Caenorhabditis elegans: one gene and its partner. The protein of the gene in region 1 interacts with the protein of each later gene in a pairwise test. Each region holds a gene or a part of one and is shown in the gene's direction. Other genes may lie near its edges.

Region 1 (10,937 bases):
CACTGATGACGTCGGCTGTGCACAGTGAGGGGATTTCCCCGTGTGTTGTGGTTTTTTGAACTTTATGTTCCCGATCTTAAGCCAAATTTTGTGCTCCATAAGAATATTATCCTGCCCATATCTCGTGCTTAAGCCTATCAAAGGCTTCCATTGATTATTCATGACTGGAAATTGTCGGCTTTGAAAAGCGGAATTATTATTTACAATTTGATATTTGAAAAATGTCTGGTCACTATGGTAGTGTGACATTCTTGAAATGCTTATTTTCTCGTTTATTTTTTGAGAAGAGAAAGTTATGATCTCAAAACACACAAATTTCTTGAGAAAATTCTGAGAAAAAAAACGTTTCTTATTTAGAATAAGTAACCCTGAACATTCTAGCTCCATGAAAATTTCTTCTTAAATAATTTTTTTTTAATTTTCTATGCCACACTAGAACTGTATGCTGAAACAGACAGTATTATCTGTTTCTCTAATTTAGGAAACATAGGATTTTCAAATTTGCTAAGAACTACCTTCAAATGGTTTCAGCGCTTTTCATTTTCCAGGTTCTACATTTTTTTGATTGTATATTGTCTGACATTTAGAAATACGTTTGAAAAATTTCAAATTTGAAGGAATGCAGATATAACTTTAAAAATCTAAATTTTTCAAAAAGGACAAGGCTGCATTAGCGTTGCTGGAAATTAAAATATGAAGCTTCATGATTTTTTAAAATTTTGATTTTAATTTTTTCTGAAGTATTTTGAATATATTTCAGCGAAACCGTCAAAAATATTCTGATAATTTTAAAACAAATGCCTATGACTACTTACGTCTGAAAACCCGTATTTCTTCCAGTTAGCCTTCCAAAAACTGCAACTTTTTTTTGTGAAATACTCTAACAACTCAAACACCATTTTATTATTCAAAGTTATTTTTCTATTTTCTACTCTTCTCCATTTTCCGTTCCTGGAAGTTGATCTCCATCCTCTACAACTCAACATTCGCGTGTCAAAGCTGAGATCATATATGCCCCAATCCTTCATAGTGAGCACAACGAAAACCGACTAAATATTCCAAATGAATAAATGTATATCAATTTTCGGGAGGAGAGATGATGTCAATGTTGCTCCGTTGAAGCCGAATGCTTAATTCACACGAGGCATTCAATCCTATCAAATTGTGGCTCCCCTTGATTTTTAATCTCTTATTCAGTTACAGAATTTTGAATTTTTGTTCCTTCAAAGATCAGAATATACTTTTCGAGGGATCTAAAACAACTTGGCAAACCTGGGAAATGTAATTTTTGTTCATCACAGTGTTGTGTGAGAAGGAGGAGAGGGCTGAGAAAATCTGAGAAGATGAAGACTAAGTGATATAGTGATAAAACTCAGGTCAATAATCAATATCTCCCTCCGTCTCCCCAGTCATTTCACTCAATCTTTCTGCATCTTCTTCTTGAATACCTCCCCCCACCTTCCTCCTTCCTTCATTGCTTCTAATCTTTGCGTCAAGATCAGTCTTTGCTGCTGCCTCTGCGGGAAAACCGGGCGCGAAAGGACCCAATTTTCAAAGTCATCGTTTCTTCCCCCCATCCCCTCCTCACCTTTCGAATTTGTTTTTGGTCGAAAGTGTAATGTAAAACGATCTTAGATCATTGGTGCCGAAAAAAAAATAAAACGAGCGAGTTATTTGCACCCGTCTCGCGCTTTTTTGAATGTTTCAAAAGAGTTTGGAAAATGCGAGGGGGTCTTTCTTTGAGTTTAACTTTTTTGTAGCAGTATTTTTTTTTGAAAGGAGGAGTAGTGGTTACATTAATTCAAATTAACAAAAAAAACAAAGTGAACATTCCAAGAATGTCAGTTAACATTATTGGAAATTGCCACATTTTTTTGGATTTTTGAGCTTTTTAGAAGTGTAGAAAATTCTGGTATTTTAGAATTCCTAAAATGTTCAAATACAACTACGTCAAGCATGATTTTTAAAGTTTGTTAAATTCTTATTAACTTTCAAAAAATGGCGAAAACTGACGTTTTTCAATTTTAAAATGATAAGGACTATCTAGAAATTTTAGAGAATATGTAGCAAATAAAAAAATGGTTTGATATTAGTTTACTAATTTAAAATTGTACTTTAATTGCAGCCGATTCATTAAATTTATAAAACTTACCACAATTTCAAAAAATTCAGCCTATGGCTCTCTCCTAAACTTACTCTACTCTCCTACTCTCCTAAACTTACTCTTAAAAATATGTCAAATAATAATCTAGTGAAACATGAAAAAATCAATAACAGAATTATTTTTATCAACAACCCTCCGCCCTGCCTCTGATCATATCGAAAACACGCTCTTGTTTCTATTTTTGTGCCACCCCCTTTTTCCTCTCTTGCCTGATCAATTTTGTGACGTTGACTCTACCATTATTCATAATTTTTGACAAGTTTCTCAAATTTAGTCTCTTCCCTTTCATCAGCTGACAGATATTTTTATGACAAATAACACACACAACTTTACGACGATGGTCTGATCTACGTGTTTCGAAATCAAAAGAGTATGGACTGATTGATCGCACAGTTGAAAGTCTACACTGTCTGGTATAAAAGTTCAAGAAAATATTATGGTAAATGTGACTCATGGTTTCTTTTTTTTCTCGAATATCTATTTCTAAAGCTTTTTTTAAACTATAATTTTCAAAACCTTCAACTTATTGGTCATTCCAAAAAGAACTTTTGCTCCATCTTCTTGCTCTTTTGCTCATCTCTCGATCTTTGTAACACACATACACACATATGCACCTCGTTCTCGAAACTCGACTACTCAAACACCGTCGTGTACATATCCGATATCTTCTCGTTTTTTTTTTTCAGAAAGTATCCTCCGCACATACTTCTCATACATAGCACACAACGTCAACCGAATTCCGAATTAACGAGCCTCCGCCGCTCGCCGAATGTGAGTTTTTTTTTGTAGGCATGCTCTTTTTTTTTCATTCACATCAAGTTTTGATGGATTGGATTAGATTTGGGGTTTTGCCTTTTGCGCTTTTAGTCGTTGGTTGGTGCCTTGCTCTTAACTATAATTGATATATATATTCTGAGTGATCGTATAATCCTTGAGAGTATTAGCTTACTTCTTCAAAATCCAAAAAACTTCTGCCAACACCACGGATTTTGGTGGTATGAAAAAGGTGTCAGATTAGGAAGAACGTTGGCTGTTTTTTCTTGCGGAAAAAGAAAACCTTGACAAAACAACAGAAAAAAGGATTGGACTCTATTTCCAGAGGAAGTAGATAAGGATGGGAATTAACGGAACATTAAAAATCTAAAAAAAACTTCGTTCAACATTCCTGACTATTGTCCTATTTTGACTACGATTTTTGAAACTAAAAATAACCTAGGTCACTGAGCCAGTTGAAACTTAGATTCAAAATTGCCACAACTAAAAGTTCCTTGCATTTTTTTGCTCAACCTCTATCTTGGCGTTTTTTTAATTTTCTAGATAAAATGATATCCTTTTCAGCGACTTTTTGAGATTTTTTTTTAATTTTCAGTGTTCAAAATCATGATGGTTCTGTTAATTTAACTTTTTAAAGTATAGATCTTATTTTCAGACTATTTAAGATCTCGAAACTATATAGGTTCTGCTCTTTTTCAATTTTTGGCTGATTAACTGGATTAGAAACATTTAAAGGTCTCTATCGTCTCCACAAGAAAAAAACATGTTTTCTGTTTCTCCGGAAATGACCTTGGAATTCAAAGACTCTAGTTAATTCGATCTCTGATCAGATATCAGAAAGCATAATTCAAGTTACAAGCCTCCCCTGACTTTGCACAACAATTCGATTGGAAGCATCTTGATCCATCAACCTGTTCAATATTTTTTTTTCTTGTTTCAAATTGAGCAATTCCAAATGGAATGAAATTTTGGAAGATGGAGCAGATAGGCTTATGGTTGAGTTGAAAAGGAAATGGAAAAATTCGTCTCCTTTCCCTTTGCAGTCCTCTCATTTTTTGAGCTTCTCCTTCGTTGGTCCCTCGTGTTTTTTTTCGTCGTTTCTTTTTTCTTCTTCTTTTTTCCCATTGCATTTTTCTTCCCTTCACGGCCCCCTTTCTCTCGTGGGGGCCCTGGCGTTGTCGCCCACAAGCTCCGCCCAGTTCACCACTCTTCTTCTTTCTTTGCTCTCTCCAGCTCGCCGAGCTTCTTCTCCCAGTTTTCTTCGCTCACTGCTCCTTTCATTTTTTTTCTTTGATCGTGCTCACCCTTCGTTGTCGTAGTCTACTTGAGACGACGTGGCGGTGGTGTGCTCACTAAGGAAACTAAATATTCTCGCGCAACACCAACGACTGGCGACCGAAGACGACGTGTGCTTTGCTCCGTCGTCTTCCCCCTACAGTTCTTCGGGACACCGCGGCGAACCACCAATGCACGTGTTTTATAGTATGAACGGTACACTGGCCGATCAACTGCAAAGCCATCTGGCCAACTACGGGCAGCCAATGGTCAACTCGCAACGCAACGAGGATCCGTCAATGTATATGAATGGATCAGCCGCCTCCGTTTCCCACACCAACGGCTCATCCTCGATGGGCAATGATCAAAAATTTCCGTCTTATAAGCGAATGGCTCAACGTAAGTTTTATCCGTTTTATTACTCGGAAAGTTGGAAAATTTAGTAAATTATCATGCTCTTTCCCAGTGGTTTCTTTCTTCAAAATAATTTTGTTTTGATGCTGAATAGGTTTTATGAATTTACAAAATTGAAAATATGAAATGAGAAAAACAAAGCATTTAGGTGAACTAGCGTACATTGACAACATTTTTTTGCTATTCGGCAGCTCAGTTTTTCAAAATATTTTTTTGTGAAGATCATATTGGTTGGATGTACTTGTGTATTCCCGCATTTTAAATACTATGTGATTTCTCAGTTGAATTGTAAATTCAATTTTAAAACAAATCTATTTGAAATAAACTGAGGAGACAGTGTTGTCAGTTTAGTGTGAACTGAAATTTTTTAAATTTGCAAGAAAACACAACATTGTTGAATTGGTTTTTCCATAAAATTTATAGTTTTTGCAAAATTTCTAATAACACTTTTTAAATGTACTTTATAAAAATTTTTAAATTTCCAATAATCCTCTAAAAATTCCCGAACCTTGAAGCTTTACGATTTCTCCACCTAGACAGTTCAAAAAGTTTCTTTAAACACGCTTAACCCCCCAACAATATTAAATTTCACTTTTTTTAGGAAGGAAAGTGCCCGAAGGAGAGCTGTGCGCAGTTTGCTCGGACCTTGCCACTGGATATCACTACGGAGTGGCTAGCTGCAATGGATGGTACGTGGCTGTTTTTTTGTTGTTGCCAGAAAAGATAAAATGACGTTGGACTTTTACACTCGACCCCCACCAAATGAGACTAGGAAGCTGGAGCTCACTGAGCTCTCTGGGGACAATCGTGTTCTTTGCTTCACTCCGCTATCCGTTTCCTCCCCTCTCCGCTGCCTGAAGCGAGACGGGTAAAACTGAGTGAAATGTGATAATGCTTAGGAGGGGCCCTTTAAAACTTGGCCTTTTTGTGTCTTGTTGGTCTTTAGGTTTTGCCTTCTTCCAAAATTTCTAGTCCTCACTCAGTGACCAACAAGCAAACAATGAACTCAATAGACTATGTGAATATGGAGGGGCTCCTTTTTTGGTTTGGTTCTCTGGTTTGCTTGCTCTTGTCAAAACCACACATGCCAAGTTCACCTTGTCTTCAATTTTTTCTCTTTTCTTTTTTTCATCTCGGCCAATAGTAAAAGTAGAAGACCCTTTGAATAAGGGGAGAAAAGCGAAAAAAGCGATCAAGTAGAAAATCGCGTCACGCTTTCGAGAGCACATAGAGCAATAGTGGCAGCAGTAGCTGCACGAGGCAATTTAGAAAGATGGGGAAAAATCCACGAAACATTTTTTTCCTCCCCAATTCTTTCGCTCTGAGGAAATTAATGATGGTCTATGTTCTCTTCCAACATAAGGGTACCAAGATTTTCTCACTCATTTTGATAATTTGATTGGATTTTAGAGAGAGAGATTACATTAGAGACATTAGAATAATTGAGTAATTCAATATTTCAAGACCAAAGAACTAGATGGTGTTCCCCAGAACAATGTTACTGTTGAAATTTTGGTTGCGATTTTCTTTAAAAAAAATTGTCAATTACTATTTCAAAACTCAAAAAACATAGGGTACTTAACTAGTAGCCGTATTTCATGTTAAAAATAGTTTAAGTTTTTTAGTTTTAAGCCAAAAATGGTGATTTGTAAGTCTAATCTTTGTTCAAATGTTTAGCCTTTAAAAAGTATACTTTTGCAAAATGAAAATTTAAAAACTTTTCGAAAAAGCTGGCTAAAATAATTTTAATCGGTACACAATTTTTTTTTGTGACATCGGTTTGAGGAAGGTAATAACTTTTTTCGAAAGCTAATAAAATGTATTTCAAATAAATATAAAAAATCGAATAAACTTTAAGGTTTGATTAAAATGAAACCTCAGGAAACACTTTTGAACATTTGAAAGCAAGTTTATCATAAGTTTCCGCTGAATATATTTTTCACAAAATTTTGTGACAGTTTTCAAATCATCTCCTCACTTCAAACCTAAAAATCTGTTTTCAGCAAAACCTTCTTCCGACGAACAATAGTCAGTGAGCAAACCTTCATTTGCCAATATAATGGAAATTGTGATGTTAATAAAAGTGAGTTTTACTCTAGATTTTCTCGGAAATCGCAAATTGTCCGGTGGTGTCTGATCATGTACTTTTGCTTATTTTGAAAGCATTTTTCAACTAAAAAAAAACTACTTGCAGACATTCGATGTGCATGCCGTCACTGCCGCTTCAACAAATGCCTATTGGTGGGGATGGACGCAAAAGGTAAGTGAAGAGCTCCTGAATATACAATAACCCGTTTGATGACATCCTACGGAGCAGCCAGGGGATTGCAAATTAAAGATACCGACACCAAAACAAGAAGCGTGATAATTAGAGCTTTGACCTCTGGGGTTATTTTTCCGGCGGGAAAATCACACCAAAACACGTGAAGTTGATCTCTGGTGTGGCTCTGTGGTTTGAGTTAAGCCGCGGATTCACGAATTCACGAATTTATAGACACTTTATTGGAACTTTTGCTTATTTTCTCTTCTCAAATGAAAAACACCCTTTTGAAAGGCTTCAATTTGAGTGATCAGTCGGTTTTGCTAGCTGAAAATCGAGATTTGAAAATCTGAAATCATTTGTTAAAAATACTGGGAAAATATATGAAAATTATGATTTCATTAAGTGAGAAAAAAAACAAGATAATTTGTTTTGACATTGAGAGCATAACAATCTAGCTATTTCCGTCAAGACTGAAAAGGAACTAAGTGAAAAATTTATAAAATGACGTAAAAGTTTGTTGCGAAAAATTCTACAACATATAAATTTGCTTAAAAAACGCTGACGTAAACTGACAACAAACTATGCTCAATTTTTATTCAGAAGCAGGACTTTTTGCATCGAAATTCGTGATAAAAAATGAAAGATGAAAATTTTCTATACTGAAAAATTAACAGGAAAAAAATTTGTTGCCAATTAGTTATTTATTGGGAGTTTAATAGAATGGAACTTTAGTGAAACAACGCAAATATTGATTTAAAACCACATCACATTTCAGTTTATTCATATATTATAAATGCCAAAATAACTTGACAGCAATTTTTGCTCTATTACCGAGTAAATTTTGAGAAATAAGCGGAAGGAGTTGTCAGTTTACACTTAATTTTTTGGCGCTGTAAAATGTTTGGAGAAAAATTGTCTATATTTTATTGAAAACACTAGGAACCAGTGGTCCCCCGCCCATCCTTAGAACTGTCGGCAAATGAAGTTTAGCCTTACAAATTCCAGCAATCCAGAATGATCGAGATCGGATTGGGCCAACGAAGAAAATCAAGATGAGCAGCGGATCTGACGACGAGCAAGCCACCACTCCACACCGTCTTCAGGACCAGGTCAGTGGGCGAAACACATTTACCCCAATTTGGATGCATCTTGAATTTCAACAATTTTAACATGTTTCAATGGTTTCTGATCATTGTAACCTAATATGGGGCTTCCTGGCGGAAGGCTGAGGAAAATGAATCTGAGCACGCTCGAAAAAAGAGAAAGGGTCCAAACAAACTCGAGACATAGCAAATAGAAATTGCTGCTAGGTTTTTTCTTGCTTAAATTTTTTTTTCAGGAAATCATCGACCAGCTCACACAAGTTGAAGGGCTGTGCCAGGAGTTGCGACGCTGCATAATTCCTGAAGTGACCGGAGTGACACATGCACTGACGTCCCCTTGCCTACTTTTTGAGACCACTGACCTTAAAGTAGACGTGAGTCTGGTGATCAACTAGTCTCACGTTCCCAGTCACCCATTCATTTTAACTTCAGACCAATACGATTTTCAAAGAGCTCTTCCCGGCGTCGATGAACGACATTCGTATGTGGAACATTCGCGAGATGCGCATCTGCATCGAGTGGGCAAAGACGTTCGATGTTTACCAGAGGCTCAACCTTTTTGATCAGGTGGGTACAAGAAACTTTGGCTGTTGGGGGATTGAAGTTTTCATTCTGCCCAAAAATTATGCTGTCGGAAAGCTAGGCAAATCTGAAGTTGTTTTTTCCCAGAAAATTCTAGAACAACTGCAATTTTGAGTTTTAAATTATTAAATATCAGCGCTGGAGTTTCATTAGCTTCCTAAAGTGGTTATTCAGAAAAAAACTGTAATTTGAAAGTTTCACTTTGAATATCCCTGAAAAAAAGCGTCTGAAAATTTAAAATTGAAAGCTTCCTGGAAAACCCCCAAAGGGAAGAATTTTAGTTTTGCAGTGACACTCGTTTTCAGTTTTGTTTTAAAGAAATCCGTAAATTTAAATTTTGAATATTGCTGAAATCATGCTTGTTCGTTTTTCGTTTTGAAAGTTCATTTTTTAATTGAAATCAGATCAAACCAATTTAGAATTGGTTGTCCGCTTATTCAATATCAAAACCAAAACTGCTCAATTTTGAGAGATTTTTTGAGACAAGCCGTGTGCTATAAAAGTACAGGGTGGGGAATAAATATAGCGCCGCAATTTTGCACGACCTCTGACGCCTGTGGAACCATTTTCGTAGCGCGCATTTTGATTTTTTTTATTCATTATTTTGTTTTTAACTATTTCTGAAAGGTTCAGCCATTTATATAAACTTTGCAGGTAATGGTGGCTGATTCTCCATTCCAATCTTCAATTGTGGAATATTCGAAAAGCGGAGTGACTTTTCCGAAGATCGTAAGAAGCTCTGTATCGGAAATCTGTGGTTAATCGAACTTTGATCCGGTTCAGAGAGTTTCGGACTTTGATGGACAAAAAACGAATTGGTCATCCGGTGTTTGTGACGACTCCTTCACTCGTCAAAGCCGTCCGAGAGCAAATATGGAGAGATCCGGAAAGAAGCATGAGAAAGATATCAACGGAGCTTGGGATGAGCCCGAAATCAATGAGAATTATTGTCAGAAACGTGCTTCGTATGATACTTCATCAATTTCAAAAGAGTGCCTTTATTACAGACCGTAACAAGGAGTTACGTTTGAAGAAAGCAAAAATTATCTTGAGTGGCACGCTTTTAAAGACACTATTTAAAAATGAAAAATATTCATTGTAGAGGCCAAAAAGAACGGTCAGAACGGACGGATTTTAGCCCTCGAGTATGAAATTGCTTAAAAGAAAAAAAATCCTTAATAAAATTTCTCACTCTGCCGCAGTGATGGATTCGGCGGAATCTGCTCCGATGGTAAGACATCACTGGGTTTTGACGATGTAGAAGCCAAAATCAACAAGGAATACTACATTCAGAAGATTTTTGTGCCGGAAGTGTTGCCTTGGTCCAAATCCCACTTCACCAACCGTGATTGGACGTCACAGCATGACGATGCGCCTACCCAGCAAATACGACTCAGCAGTGATTTAAGACGAATTTCCCGGCTTTCATCACGAAAGATCAACGGCCTGCTTCCAGCCGAGATAGATTCCGATGGATTTCGCTGTGTAGGGATATTTGACCCAACAGGTTTGCACAAAAAATTATCAAAATTTGGGAGCCCTGAAGATAGCCTTGGCAGCTGCATGGGACAATCTAGACGTCAACTGCCTCCGTGCCGTCGTCAACTCACATGGGACTTCGGCCGTTATCAAATCAAAAGGAGAGATATTTCAAAACTGTTAATGCTATGTTTTTGTAATTGCTTAATAAACATTATGTTAGATTTTTACGAAAAAATCTTTAGATTTGAAGCTTTTACACCGTCCTGAATGCGGCGCTATATTTATTCCCCACCCTGTACAGACACATTTCCACCTGATAGCTGACAGTGGATTTTCAGCGGGTTTTCCCCTGAAACACTAAACATCACACGGTCAAGAACGATTTTTTCTAGCCCCAATACCGATAATGAAACAGAGCGCGCGCACCAAAAAAAAACTAAAATAATAAAAGTTAGATGGCCAATGACCATCCGCTTTGCATGTCCATGTGATGCAAATTTTAATGAAGAAAGTAGCTTTTCGAGCAAGTTCTTACACAATCTGAAATCTTAAGATCTACATGTAAACAACAATTATAACTCAGAATATAAAACTTTGAGTTTTGGTTGTGAAGGGGTTTTCTTGTTAAGGGAAACGAAATGTATTATTTTCAGTTTGCCCTCGTCCGAAACTTTGCCTTCGCATTTAATCTGCTCAACAGAGTGTTCTACTCGCCGGACCATGGACCAGATAAGATTGTCTTCCAAAATGGAGCCTTCATCATGAGACAGCCACAACAACAGGTACACAACAACTTATTTAAACTAGAATTATTTTCTGTGTGTTTCTAGGTCCAACTCTCGGGATGCCGGCCTATCTACACTCGACAAATGGACGAGAT
Region 2 (10,937 bases), on another chromosome or scaffold:
TGAAATTTAATTTTGTTGTTTTCCACCGGTTCCAGTCCAATGTTCTTCCTCACCTCAAAAACCGCATTCGATTCCAAAATCTGCACAGCATTGGGGATCCGCAATGACAATTCCACCAATTCCTTCTACAAAATCTCTCGTTTAATTTGGATTATCGTCTCAATTTTGGCGTAGAAGAAAAAAACCGGACTACTGCCGGATTAGGTACGCTTCTTTTTCCTAGCTTCCTTAATACTTGTAGTAAAACAAATTTGCGGGAAAATGGATTTTCGAGAATGTTATTGTTTTAGCGGAAAATGTTTTGAGTAAAAAGCGAAAAGTGTCACTTACACATCCCGCCCGTAATGGACGATCAGGTACCAGAAGTCGAATCGCTCGTTTTTGTTTCATTCGAATTGGCTGAAAATTTTAGGTTTAGGAATTTTTGGAAAATTAAGATTTAGCAAAAAAAGTATATTCACAAACTTTTCAAAAAAAATGTCGGTAGAAAATGTGCCTGATTTTTTGCTTAAAATGGATAAATTTAATTCATTTTTGTAGATCTGGGTTTAAGAATATTAATAAAATAAAATTAGTACACATTATTAATTTTTAGATGACTTGTTTTCTATATAATGTTTTCATAGTAAAAAAATATTTTTTACAAAAATATTTGAGTTTTCAAATGTATAGTCCGAACGAAAAAATTTCTACGATTTTCAAGTTTGAATTGTGTTTTGAATTTTATTAGTTGAACAATCTAGGGGTTCAACCTTGCAGCAATGCTCGAAATAACTCAAAATCATTTTTTGGAAATTTTGACATTTTACCAATACGTTGACTGAAAATTTTGAAAACCCTAAAACCTTTTTGGAGTGTTTTTATATGATATTTGGCCATTTTGGAGTATTATAAGAAACTCAGCCTTTAAATCAAAAAGCTTCCAATAGCTTGGTTCAAAAGTTCAAAATCAAGAAAGAAGAGACGGAAGAAGATTCTTAAGTGAATGGAGGTGTTGTGTACGTACTATTAGCTTAAACTATAAAGGAAAACCAAAAAGGCGAGAAGAAGTCAGATGATTGCGTTGTCTCTCCTCAACAAAACGAATTGTGTGGTGTCACCTCTCTCCTCCAACCCAATTTCATTTTCTCGTCTGCGCCTCTTCGTCTCCAACGTGTTTTCACTTCGGACCACGCCCCGCCTGTTTTTTTTTTCTGGGCGAATGCTACTCCCTTAGTCATTTCGTAAGTGTCGTTTGACAGTCTATGTCTCTGAGTAGGAGTATTAGCCCCCAGATAATTGCCACGTCATTAGAGCGATGTGGACATTACTGTGGTGATAATAAAAGTGGATGGAAGGAGAGGAGAAGCGGATGTACTCTAGGTGATCGGATATTCGGATTTTGTGAAGAGGATCCTATCAGAAAAGATGACTGGCGCGAAATTTGAATTATAATTTTTCGAAAAAAATTGCTAGGTTACAAAACATTTTCAGCGCGAAGTTTGAGTTCTTAATTAAAAAAAAATATTTGGAGCCAAACTCATTTGGCGCAACTTCGAAAATTAATTTTTTTGGCAGAATTTCGCAGTGAGCATGGAAATTTAATTTTTTAAAGAGTCGCCAAATTTTTATTAAAAATTTAAAAACCTCATTTTGGCGCTAATAAATAGAATTTAACTTTTTTTTAATTACCAAAAGTCTTCCAAATTTTTTGAAAACATTTTGGCGTAATTTTAAAAACTATTTTCAATTGGCGCCAAGTTTGAATTTAAATTTATAGAAACAGTGTTCAAATTTTTAATTTTTAAAATAATTTTTTGAAATATTTTTTTTAATGTTCTTTAGAAAATTTCTGAGATTTCCAAATGTCGTTTTCTGAAAATTGGCGTCAAATCAGAGTTTTGAACATTTTATGCAATTTGGGCAAATCTTATTTTGGCAACAAAAAAAAGGCAAAAAAAAAATGGTAAAATAATTTCCCAAATTTTTGGCAAATTTTGGCAGAAAGGCGAAACAGAATTCGAATTTTTTTTTTCAAAATTGGCATCAAATTTGAATTTTAATTTTCAAAACAAATCTTAAATCACACTTCTAGGAATTTTAAAACTCTATGGGTACTTTTTAAAAACATCTGGAACCACTCTAGAAGTTTGTCAACAATCCACTTGAAAATCTTACCAGTATTATTTTGATTGTAGTCACTGAAATTTCTCTAAAACACTTGAGAATTTATAAAAAGTAATACTAACATTTTTATTTTTCAGAATTAATTTTTCAGACACCTCCAAAAAGTTCAGAAAAAGTTTAGCTAATGTCAGAAAAACATTTGAAAATTGCCGTCAGTTAGAAGGAGAATCGTGAAAAAAATTGGTAATTTTGGAAATTGAACCGACACACAAAAAGATGAGTGACGAAGATAAAAAAAAGGGTAACTAGGTTGACACCTGAGTACATCAACTGGGAAAATGAGTATTCGACAGAGATAGAACAATTAGAAAATGGAAGAAGACAAAGGGAGGTACAGACTGATGGACGGAGAGCCGCCTAATGGACAACCGTTGGATACAATTTTGGGAAATGAACTGGGAGAAATTGAAATTGAAATAGAAAAAGTGGGAGTGGTTTTGGTGTGGTGACATTTGGAAGGACACACTGTGATAAATAGCAGGTGGGGAACGACGGTCAACATTTCATTTGGAGAGGGAGCAGAATTTATATGCATAATTTGGGACATATTGGGGTAACGGTATTGTTGAGTGAATTATGTTTTCCTGCAAGTTAAGAAGGGCAAGGTTATTTGGAGATAGATTTTTTGAGGAAAATTGTGACTGAAGGTTTGAAATTCTACTAGAAAACGGTGGGCGGCAAACGATTTTTTGGGCAAATCGACAATCTGCCGGAATCGAAATTTCTGGCAAATCGGCAAATTGTCGGAATTGAAATTTTCCTGCAAGTCGGCAAATAGCCGGAATTAAATTTCCAGAAAATCGGCAAATAGCCGGAATTAAATTTCCAGAAAATCGACAAAGTGCCGGAATTGAAAATTTCCGGCCAATCGGCAAATCGGAAAATTGCCGGAACTGAATTATTCCGGCAAATCGGCAAATAGCCGGAATTGAAATATTCCGGCAAATTGGCAAATTGCCGGAATTGAAATTTCCGGCAAATCGAAAAAATTTTTAAGTGTTTTCGTATTAAAAAAAACCCTTTAAAAACTTCCGACAAATCGGCAAATCGACAAATTACCGGAATAGAAAATTTCCGGCAAATCTGAAAATTTCCAATATTGAAATTTCCGGCAAAACCGCAAATAGGCGGAATTCAAAATTTCCGGCCAATTTTTTGCCGATTTGCCGAACGGCAATTGCAGCCTACTAGGTCCAGAAGTGGACTGCAAACGAAATTTTTTGGCACGTGGTAAACCAGCTCCTTGCCGATTTGCCAAATTTAAAAACTGCGAAGTACTCAAAAAAAGGGCAAATAACTCAAAAATGTACAGTTTTTTGGTTTAAAAAAACCTCTTGAAAATTTTGCCAATTTTGGACATTAGCAAAAAAAAATGGTTTTAAATTTTTACAATTTTTGGAATTTTGTACAAATTTTCAAACTGCCTTCTTTCGAGAATTTTCTGAAACTGCAATATTTAAAAAGATTAGTTTTAAAAAATGTTTACAGCATCCAAAGCCTACAATACCAGAGACCTTTTTCCACAAGTCGCCCAAATATTTTAAAATTTTCTATAACTTGTTCCGGACAATTTCAGAATTATTGGGAGTTTTCAAAAGTTTTCAGAATATAGCAATAGAATTTCAACCCTTGAGGATATTAAAAGGTGAAATACATGTATAATTGAAACTTTCAGTGTATAAAGCTGCGAAGAAAACTATTAAGGAACTTAACATTTTTATAGCGTTACAGTTTGTTACTGTTTCTCACTCAATTAGTATTATAGTTAGCTGTACAGTTATCGTAAACTGTATCAATTTCCCTCCTCCTTCATCGTCTTCTTTGTAGTCTGCTAAGCGTCTAAAAATCTGTTGCGCCAAGCCCTACGCAACGGTTTTTGACACTTCTCGATTTCATCCATCAAGAAGATGTCCACCCAATAGTCTGCCCAAGTGAAGCTGGCAACTTTCGGCATATCCATTCTCCAAAGAAACAATCCATGAGAACACAACCTTCCCCCAATCGCAAACTGGTTTCAAATCCACGGGAGAGGATAAGATGAAGCCGACGAAAAGAGAATGAAGTGAGATTGGAGAGGTCTTTGAGGAGGAGAAAATGCCACACTCCATCGACGATGACGGCGGTGGTGATGGTGTTTCATTGTGTTTCTTTTCAGAAATGATTCAACTTTTCCTGGATTTTGTTCCGATTTTTATCATTTGAAGCCTATTTTAGTAGTTTGACTTTTTTCATTTCATTGGACAGCTAACCGTAGTGGTATTGCTCTTTGAGAGGTTATATCCTGGTTAATTTTAAAGATATCAAAAAAATGATTGCTACAAAAAATAGAAAAAGAAATATATAATTTTTCTAGTTCGCAATTTTTGAATAGACCAAACGACCATTGAGATATAGGATGTCAAAGTTGAACACTGGGGAAAAATTCAAATTGAGAAAATATGACTTCGACAGTAGCCAGGCATTATTATTTTTTTCGTGCCTATCTGCCTATCTCTTTTTTTGTTGATAAACCCCAAAACTACCTGAATAAAACCACGCCTGCCTACCTGCCTACGCGCCACGCTCTTGCATTCCTGTCCTACAGCAAAAGTTCAACTGAAGATGTAAGCTGAGACTTCCAAAAGTAGGCAGGCATTGTTCTTTGGCTTTGTGCCTACCTGCCTACCTCTTATAATTGTTCTAAATAAAGCCAAAAACGTATTGAAAAAGCCAAACATTACGTTGGCAAAACCATGCCTGCCTACATACCTAACTTCAAGAGAGCCTCGGTAAGCTAAAGCTTCCAATTTAGGCATGTATCAAATTTTGGCCTAACTGTACTTAGGCACGTGTAGGTTTCCTTGCAGGCAGGCAGGCGTTTTTTTTTTAAATTTCAATTCAATCCTATTTTAGCTCTGGAATCTTTGAAAACCTACTTGCATTCAATTTTTCGCAACATACATATTCTAATAGACTAATAGATTTTAATTCCAGAAAATGACAAGGTTACTGAATCTCACAATATCCACATTTCTGATATCTTTTGTCACTTCCAAATTCACACCTGACTTCTCACAATGGCTTGCGGATTACTACGGGCCTCAAGTTAGAGATCAGATTGAACGATTGGATCTTGGACCCGGTGGATCTTTCGGTGGAAAAAAGAATCGCAATGATACGCTGAAAAATCAGCCATTGATTATTGTCCACGGAGTATCGGATACAGCCGGCGAGAAGCCATTTTGGGCTGCACAGTGGTTCAGGTAACAGTTGAAAGTTGATAGAAAAGTGAGAATATAATTTTATTTTTGTTTAGAAAAGAGGGAAAATACGCAGAGAATGAGATTTATTCAACAACATATTTCAACGGAGCACAGGGAAACCCGTTGAAATGGATCGAGTACTCGATGAAGTGTGAATATATTAAGCAGGTATGACAGACAACTCTCATAAAGCATAAAGCTTTGAATGCTTGTAACTCAGTCAGCAGCGAAGCTTTTAAAAAGTTGTCAACTATAAAAATGTAGCAAATTTTCTAAACTTTTTGGTATTTTTAAGGGTTATAGAGATATCTTTAAAATAAGCCACTTCAAACTTTTCCAGGTTCGATCTCTAATTGTGGCTGTCCGCTTGTACACTGGCCGCAACGTTGATGTGATCGGTTTCTCGCTTGGTGTTCCGGTGTCAAGAAAAGCAATTCTTGGAGGTAATTGATGTTTAAATTTGAACTGATTTGCATAGAAATGTATGTAGGTGGAGGGTAGGGGAACCGGAAGTCGAATGGAGGGTTGTGAAATAGTTGAGATTTTTCAGGCCGTTGCGTCGACACCGGAGAGTACCTTGGAGAACCGCTGACACGTGTCGTTGACACCTACATCGGAGTAGCTGGACCAAATCGTGGAGCTTCTCCACAACTCGGACCACTTTCAGTCCCGGCTTGCGCACTCTCTATCACCCCGATCTGCAATTCGGTGAACGGTCTTTACTCTGGAAACTGCCCAGCACAAAGTGAATTCCTTCAGGTAAGCCTGCCGCGTGCCTGCCCGCCTCCTAAGAATTGATAGGATGTGCGTACAGATTAAAAGCTTTTATAAATATAATTTATATTCCAGGACATCAACAAATTTGCACATTATGAAGGACAATACACCTACTCAATTTACACGCAGAAGGACCAAATGGTTGGATACACTGTTTGTGGACAGGTACAGCTTAATTCTTAACTAGTATGATCCTTTCATTCAACAATTTCCAGCTAACATCCCCACTCCCCGGTCAAAATGGACAACGCGTCTACACTGATAAAAACCACGATCAAGTGTTCGACGATACTCATGAGGTTCAACTTCGTATGATCAGGGATCATGTGGTTACCTAAGGAAGTTTTGTGGTGTCCCGTGCCTAGCCTGTTAAAACCCTATTAATGATCTGAAATTGTTGAAAATATTGGAATTTTATTATTTATGTGTAAGAGAACTATAATAAACACGATTTGAAATGTATTCAACGTTGTAATTAATTTAAGCTGCGTGCCAGCGTACAGTGTACTTGTGCTCGGCAAGGTGCAGAAAAACAGGCAGTAGGCAAACATGTAGGCAAGAAGGCCTGAAGATGTGCCTACCAAATAAACAGGTATTTTTTGAATTACTGTGGCTTTTTTTACGAATTTCAAAAAAACCAGTTTTGCAGCAGTATTATTGGAGATTTTATTACGCTTAGTTAATGCCTAATATTCTTTCCTATGTAGATTAATTCTTCAGGCCGAAATATGCCTACCTGTGTCTCAGCGCCTAGTTCAGGCTGGAACGCGCCTTGCTAGTTGAAAACCACTATTTTCTTAAATTTTTATTTATATAAATTAAATGTCAAGTATAATAATTATAATGTCAAAATAGCAACAACAATTAACAAAACCACTATTAAGTCTACAATTCCTCGTGATCGAAGCTTGGTCCACCTGGTGGCACTGCGTCGTAGTTCACTGATCCTCCCTTTCCTTCCTCAGACTGAAAATTAGAAATTTATTCGTTGATTTTGGAATCTAATAATTTAACTATTCAACTATTCAACTCACATAAATATTCAACCACGTCTTTCCATTTCCAAGTTGAACTCCAGCCAAGGTTTTTCCGTTTTGAACGATTCTTGCTCCGACCTTCCAGTCTCCTCCGAGTTGTGGAATTGGCAGGGCTCCGATGTCAATTGGCTCCTTTTGCACGAATGGGGTCACGTCGATTGGTCCGTTGGTCTTGATCTTGAGGACCGAGCACACACTTGGAGCAAGTGAGCAGAGGGTGTATTTGCTGAAATATATACAATTTGAGATGTAAATTGAACGCTTAAAATCGCTAACCAAAGTTGATCCGGGACAAACGAGTTCTCAGATTTTCCATTGGAGCACACTTTTCCGATCATGAAGCTGTCCTTCTCGACGTTCAGCGCGAGCTCCAGGGAGTCTTCGTCGGTGATTGGCTCGTTGACAGTGATGAATCCTGAAAAAAATATGGATCTTGGTTTGTAGGCTTGCTTGCCTTCAAGGTATCCTACGCCTGTCTCATGCCTACACGCGTAGCTACTACTAAAGTACCTTTGAAAAATCCTGCAAATTTTTTATCTGACTGATTTCAATAAATCAATTCAAACGCACCAAAGTTAACTATAAAATGTCAATTATATGCGGTAGGCATCAACATAATCTCTAGGCAGGCAGGCACGTAGATTTCTAGGCATGAAGACGTGCCTGATTATGTGTTTCAGGTTTTCTATGTAGACACAAAATGCCTACTTCTTCCTGTCTACTTTACTCGCGATGAAGGCAGGTACGAAGACCCTAAGGCATAGTGATGTGCCTGACGTGTCAAGAATTAGACGGTATTCGGTCACCGAAGCGCTAGGCAGAAAGGCAGGTAGGTTCTCAAACAAAGAGATGCGCCGGAAATCTCAATAATTTGCAGCCGACATCTGTCCAGGCCAACTTCCTGCCAAATTTTTCACTCTGCTCCAGCATGCAAATAAAAGAGGTAGGCAGGCACCAGGCATGGGGTAGGCGCACCTCTTTTTGACTAGAACTCGAATATTGGAACTTTTTATGTTATATCTTTTGACTAAAAAGTCCCTTTTCCAAATTTTCCCACATACTTTTTGTATTCACTAGCTTCAAATTTGAATTCATTATGACCCATATTTGTCGGTCTGACGTGCCGCTACGTAGCTTGTTTATCACACACAATTTCACAGAGTTCAAAAAACAAAACTAACCCTTGTGAAGCTTGAAGTGTCCTGGAAGTCTGAACTGCGGCTTTCCCTTCTTGCAAGATGGCTCCTTGTTCTCATCGTAGGTGGTCACCTCGAAATCGGTGAAAATAATTTTTCCCTTTCCTCTGGTGGTGTCCGTGAACTTGATGACATTATCCACTCCGTCCTCGCACTTGGACCAGGCCACAGTCACGAAGGCGGCAAGAACGAGCCACTTGAATAGCATGCTGGAATTTTTGGGAATTGAAATTTGAAAATTTGAGGAAACTGAAATTGTTGAAAAAAAAATGAACAATAGAATTAAGGCTGTTCAAACACAACGAGCACAATACGATTTGTAGAATGCAATATAAGGAAAAGAAGAAAAGTTTCTGGTTCTTATCAATATATGACCTGATAAGAAGCCAATTGCGGAGATGGCTCCAAATTTGATTAGTGCTCAGAGATAGTGTATGGATTTGAGAGACGCTGGTGGAGGGCAAATACAATAGAGAGGCGGTATGCGACGTGTACTTACCGACGACGTGGCTATTCCTGGGATGAATAATTGATGGAATTTGTGGTTTTGGAGGAAAGTTTCAAAATAGGCACAATAGGCACTGTCAAAAATAAGGACACATTTTTTACATGGAATTTTCAAGAGTAGCGCCAGTGCAAATTTTGACAAAGTATGGCCCAAAACATTAAAGTTTTGGCATGTTGCAAAATTACAAAAAGAACCTTTTTAGAAATTTAGTGTATTCTTGCAATTAAACCATATTTGAAAAATGAAAATTCGAAAAAAATAAATACATACATACCCATACCCATACCCAACTACCTATCTACCTACCTTCCCAGGGGTGGGCGGCAAATGCCGTTTGGCAAATTGATTTGTCGACAAACTCGGCGAATCGGCAAATCGCCGGTTTACCGATTTGCTGGAAATATTTATTTTGGCAAATTGCCGGTTTGCCGTTCGCCGAATATCAGATTTGCCGGAAATACTCACTTTGGCAAATTGTCAATTTGCCGTTCGCCGAATATCAGATTTGCCGGAAATGTTTAGAGGGGAATTTTCTAACCCTGCAATTTGCCGGTTTGCCGATTTGCCGGAAATTTTCAATTCCGGAAATTTGCCGATTTGCAAATTTGCCGGAAAAAATCGTTTGCCGCCCATCCCTGTGCCTACCCACCTACCGACCTACCTACCTGCCTACCTACCTATTAGAACTTCATCTAGCTTTCTTCACATTTTAATAAATAAATTAAATAAATAGGCTATTTACTAGATTTAAGGACAATTTTTGAAACAAATTCTAACAATCCATTATTTTTTTTTTGGAAAAAAAATTAATAACATTTAAGAACATGCCAATTCTAGAAATAGGGCGTACATATGTGTACCAAAATGTGACTCACACTTTTGTCAAATCAAAAACTACACGAATACGCGATTTTCTTTTCTTCAAACATATACTTTCAATGCATATATCTCAGTTGTCGTTTGTCCTATACAAAAATAGTCGATTGGCAAAATATTTGTAATTTCTTTTTCTATATTTTTGCAGTTGAATATGTATTAATATCTGCAAAATGAAACAAGATAAAACCTTTTAAAGTGTAGAGTACTACGTAGTAGGGCATCTAAGATGAATACCTTCTAGTTTTATTTTAATTAAACGATGTGTATTATCAGTGCAAAGTCTAACTTAATCAAATAAAGGGATGGTGTTGTTATCAGTAGAACACACGTTTCGAACTATAATATGATATTTCAATATGGCAGTTTGAAAATAGTGTTTTGCAGTTTGGAGATGGACTGGTCGATAATCGGGGTTAATCTTCACATGGTACTTATTTGAAACTTTGAAGTTATAGACCAGGGGTAGGCGGGAAACGATTTTTTCCTGCAAATCGGCAAATCTGCAAATTGCCGGAATTGAAATTTCCGGCAAACCGGTAATTTTGCCAATTGCCAAAAATACAAATTTCCAGCAATCTACAATTTCGGCAATTGCCGGTTTTGGGAATTTTTGGTAAATGGCTATTTCGGCAATTGCCGGTTTTGGGAATTTCCGGCAACCGGCAATTTTTGGCAATTGCCGGTTTTCAAAACTTCCGGCAATCGGAAATTGCCAAAATTGCCAAAAATTCGCTTGCCGAATGGCAATCGCCGCGCACCACTGTTTGGCAAAATTTTCAGTTTTTTTGAACCTCTCACTATTTTCAGATGGTCTCTAAATATTTAAATTAACAAGATTGAAAAAAATTCAACAATTAACGATTTATTCAAATCCTTAAACATTTTCAAGCCCAAGAAACTTGGAAACAATTAGAAAAAAATTAACGTCGAACTCTCGAGAACCGCGACTCCAATCCACGACGTGACACGTTACATCCCATGTTCTGCAGAGCCAGCACGACTTCCATATGGCTTGAATGAGCAAACATATTTCAGCTGGGTGAAGCAGAAATGCTTAAAATGACTGATATGTGGGGTGGAGCTCTAATAATCCAGACTTGATATTACCCTGGAATACAGAAAACGATGTGAC

What was found. Proteins that work in one complex are often made in the same cells at the same time.
Region 2: the proteins of nhr-1 (region 1) and lips-9 interact in a two-hybrid assay, tested with the Caenorhabditis elegans proteins (one large-scale study listed by BioGRID).

The regions. Positions count from the first base shown.
Region 1 is NC_003284.9:17,515,595-17,526,531, forward strand, and holds the start of nhr-1 (Nuclear hormone receptor family member nhr-1), read left to right. Parts: upstream 1-4,140; 5' UTR 4,141-4,422; coding exon 4,423-4,612; intron 4,613-5,228; coding exon 5,229-5,316; intron 5,317-5,388; exon of another isoform or gene 5,389-5,597; intron 5,598-6,630; coding exon 6,631-6,710; intron 6,711-6,821; coding exon 6,822-6,887; intron 6,888-7,880; coding exon 7,881-7,999; intron 8,000-8,229; coding exon 8,230-8,376; intron 8,377-8,425; coding exon 8,426-8,560; coding exon of another isoform or gene 8,561-8,689; intron 8,690-10,710; coding exon 10,711-10,839; intron 10,840-10,887; coding exon 10,888-10,937. UniProt on the Caenorhabditis elegans protein: Orphan nuclear receptor which acts in concert with the insulin/IGF-1-like signaling (IIS) pathway during osmotic stress, perhaps in response to a ligand modified by the sulfotransferase ssu-1.
Region 2 is NC_003280.10:12,929,563-12,940,499, reverse strand, and holds lips-9 (LIPaSe related), read left to right. Parts: upstream 1-5,137; 5' UTR 5,138-5,142; coding exon 5,143-5,408; intron 5,409-5,461; coding exon 5,462-5,576; intron 5,577-5,748; coding exon 5,749-5,851; intron 5,852-5,958; coding exon 5,959-6,167; intron 6,168-6,257; coding exon 6,258-6,350; intron 6,351-6,400; coding exon 6,401-6,523; 3' UTR 6,524-6,646; downstream 6,647-10,937. Other genes in the region: arrd-10 (Arrestin C-terminal-like domain-containing protein), read right to left, coding at 54-125, 331-390; dct-18 (DAF-16/FOXO Controlled, germline Tumor affecting), read right to left, coding at 7,071-7,151, 7,220-7,448, 7,499-7,637, 8,404-8,626.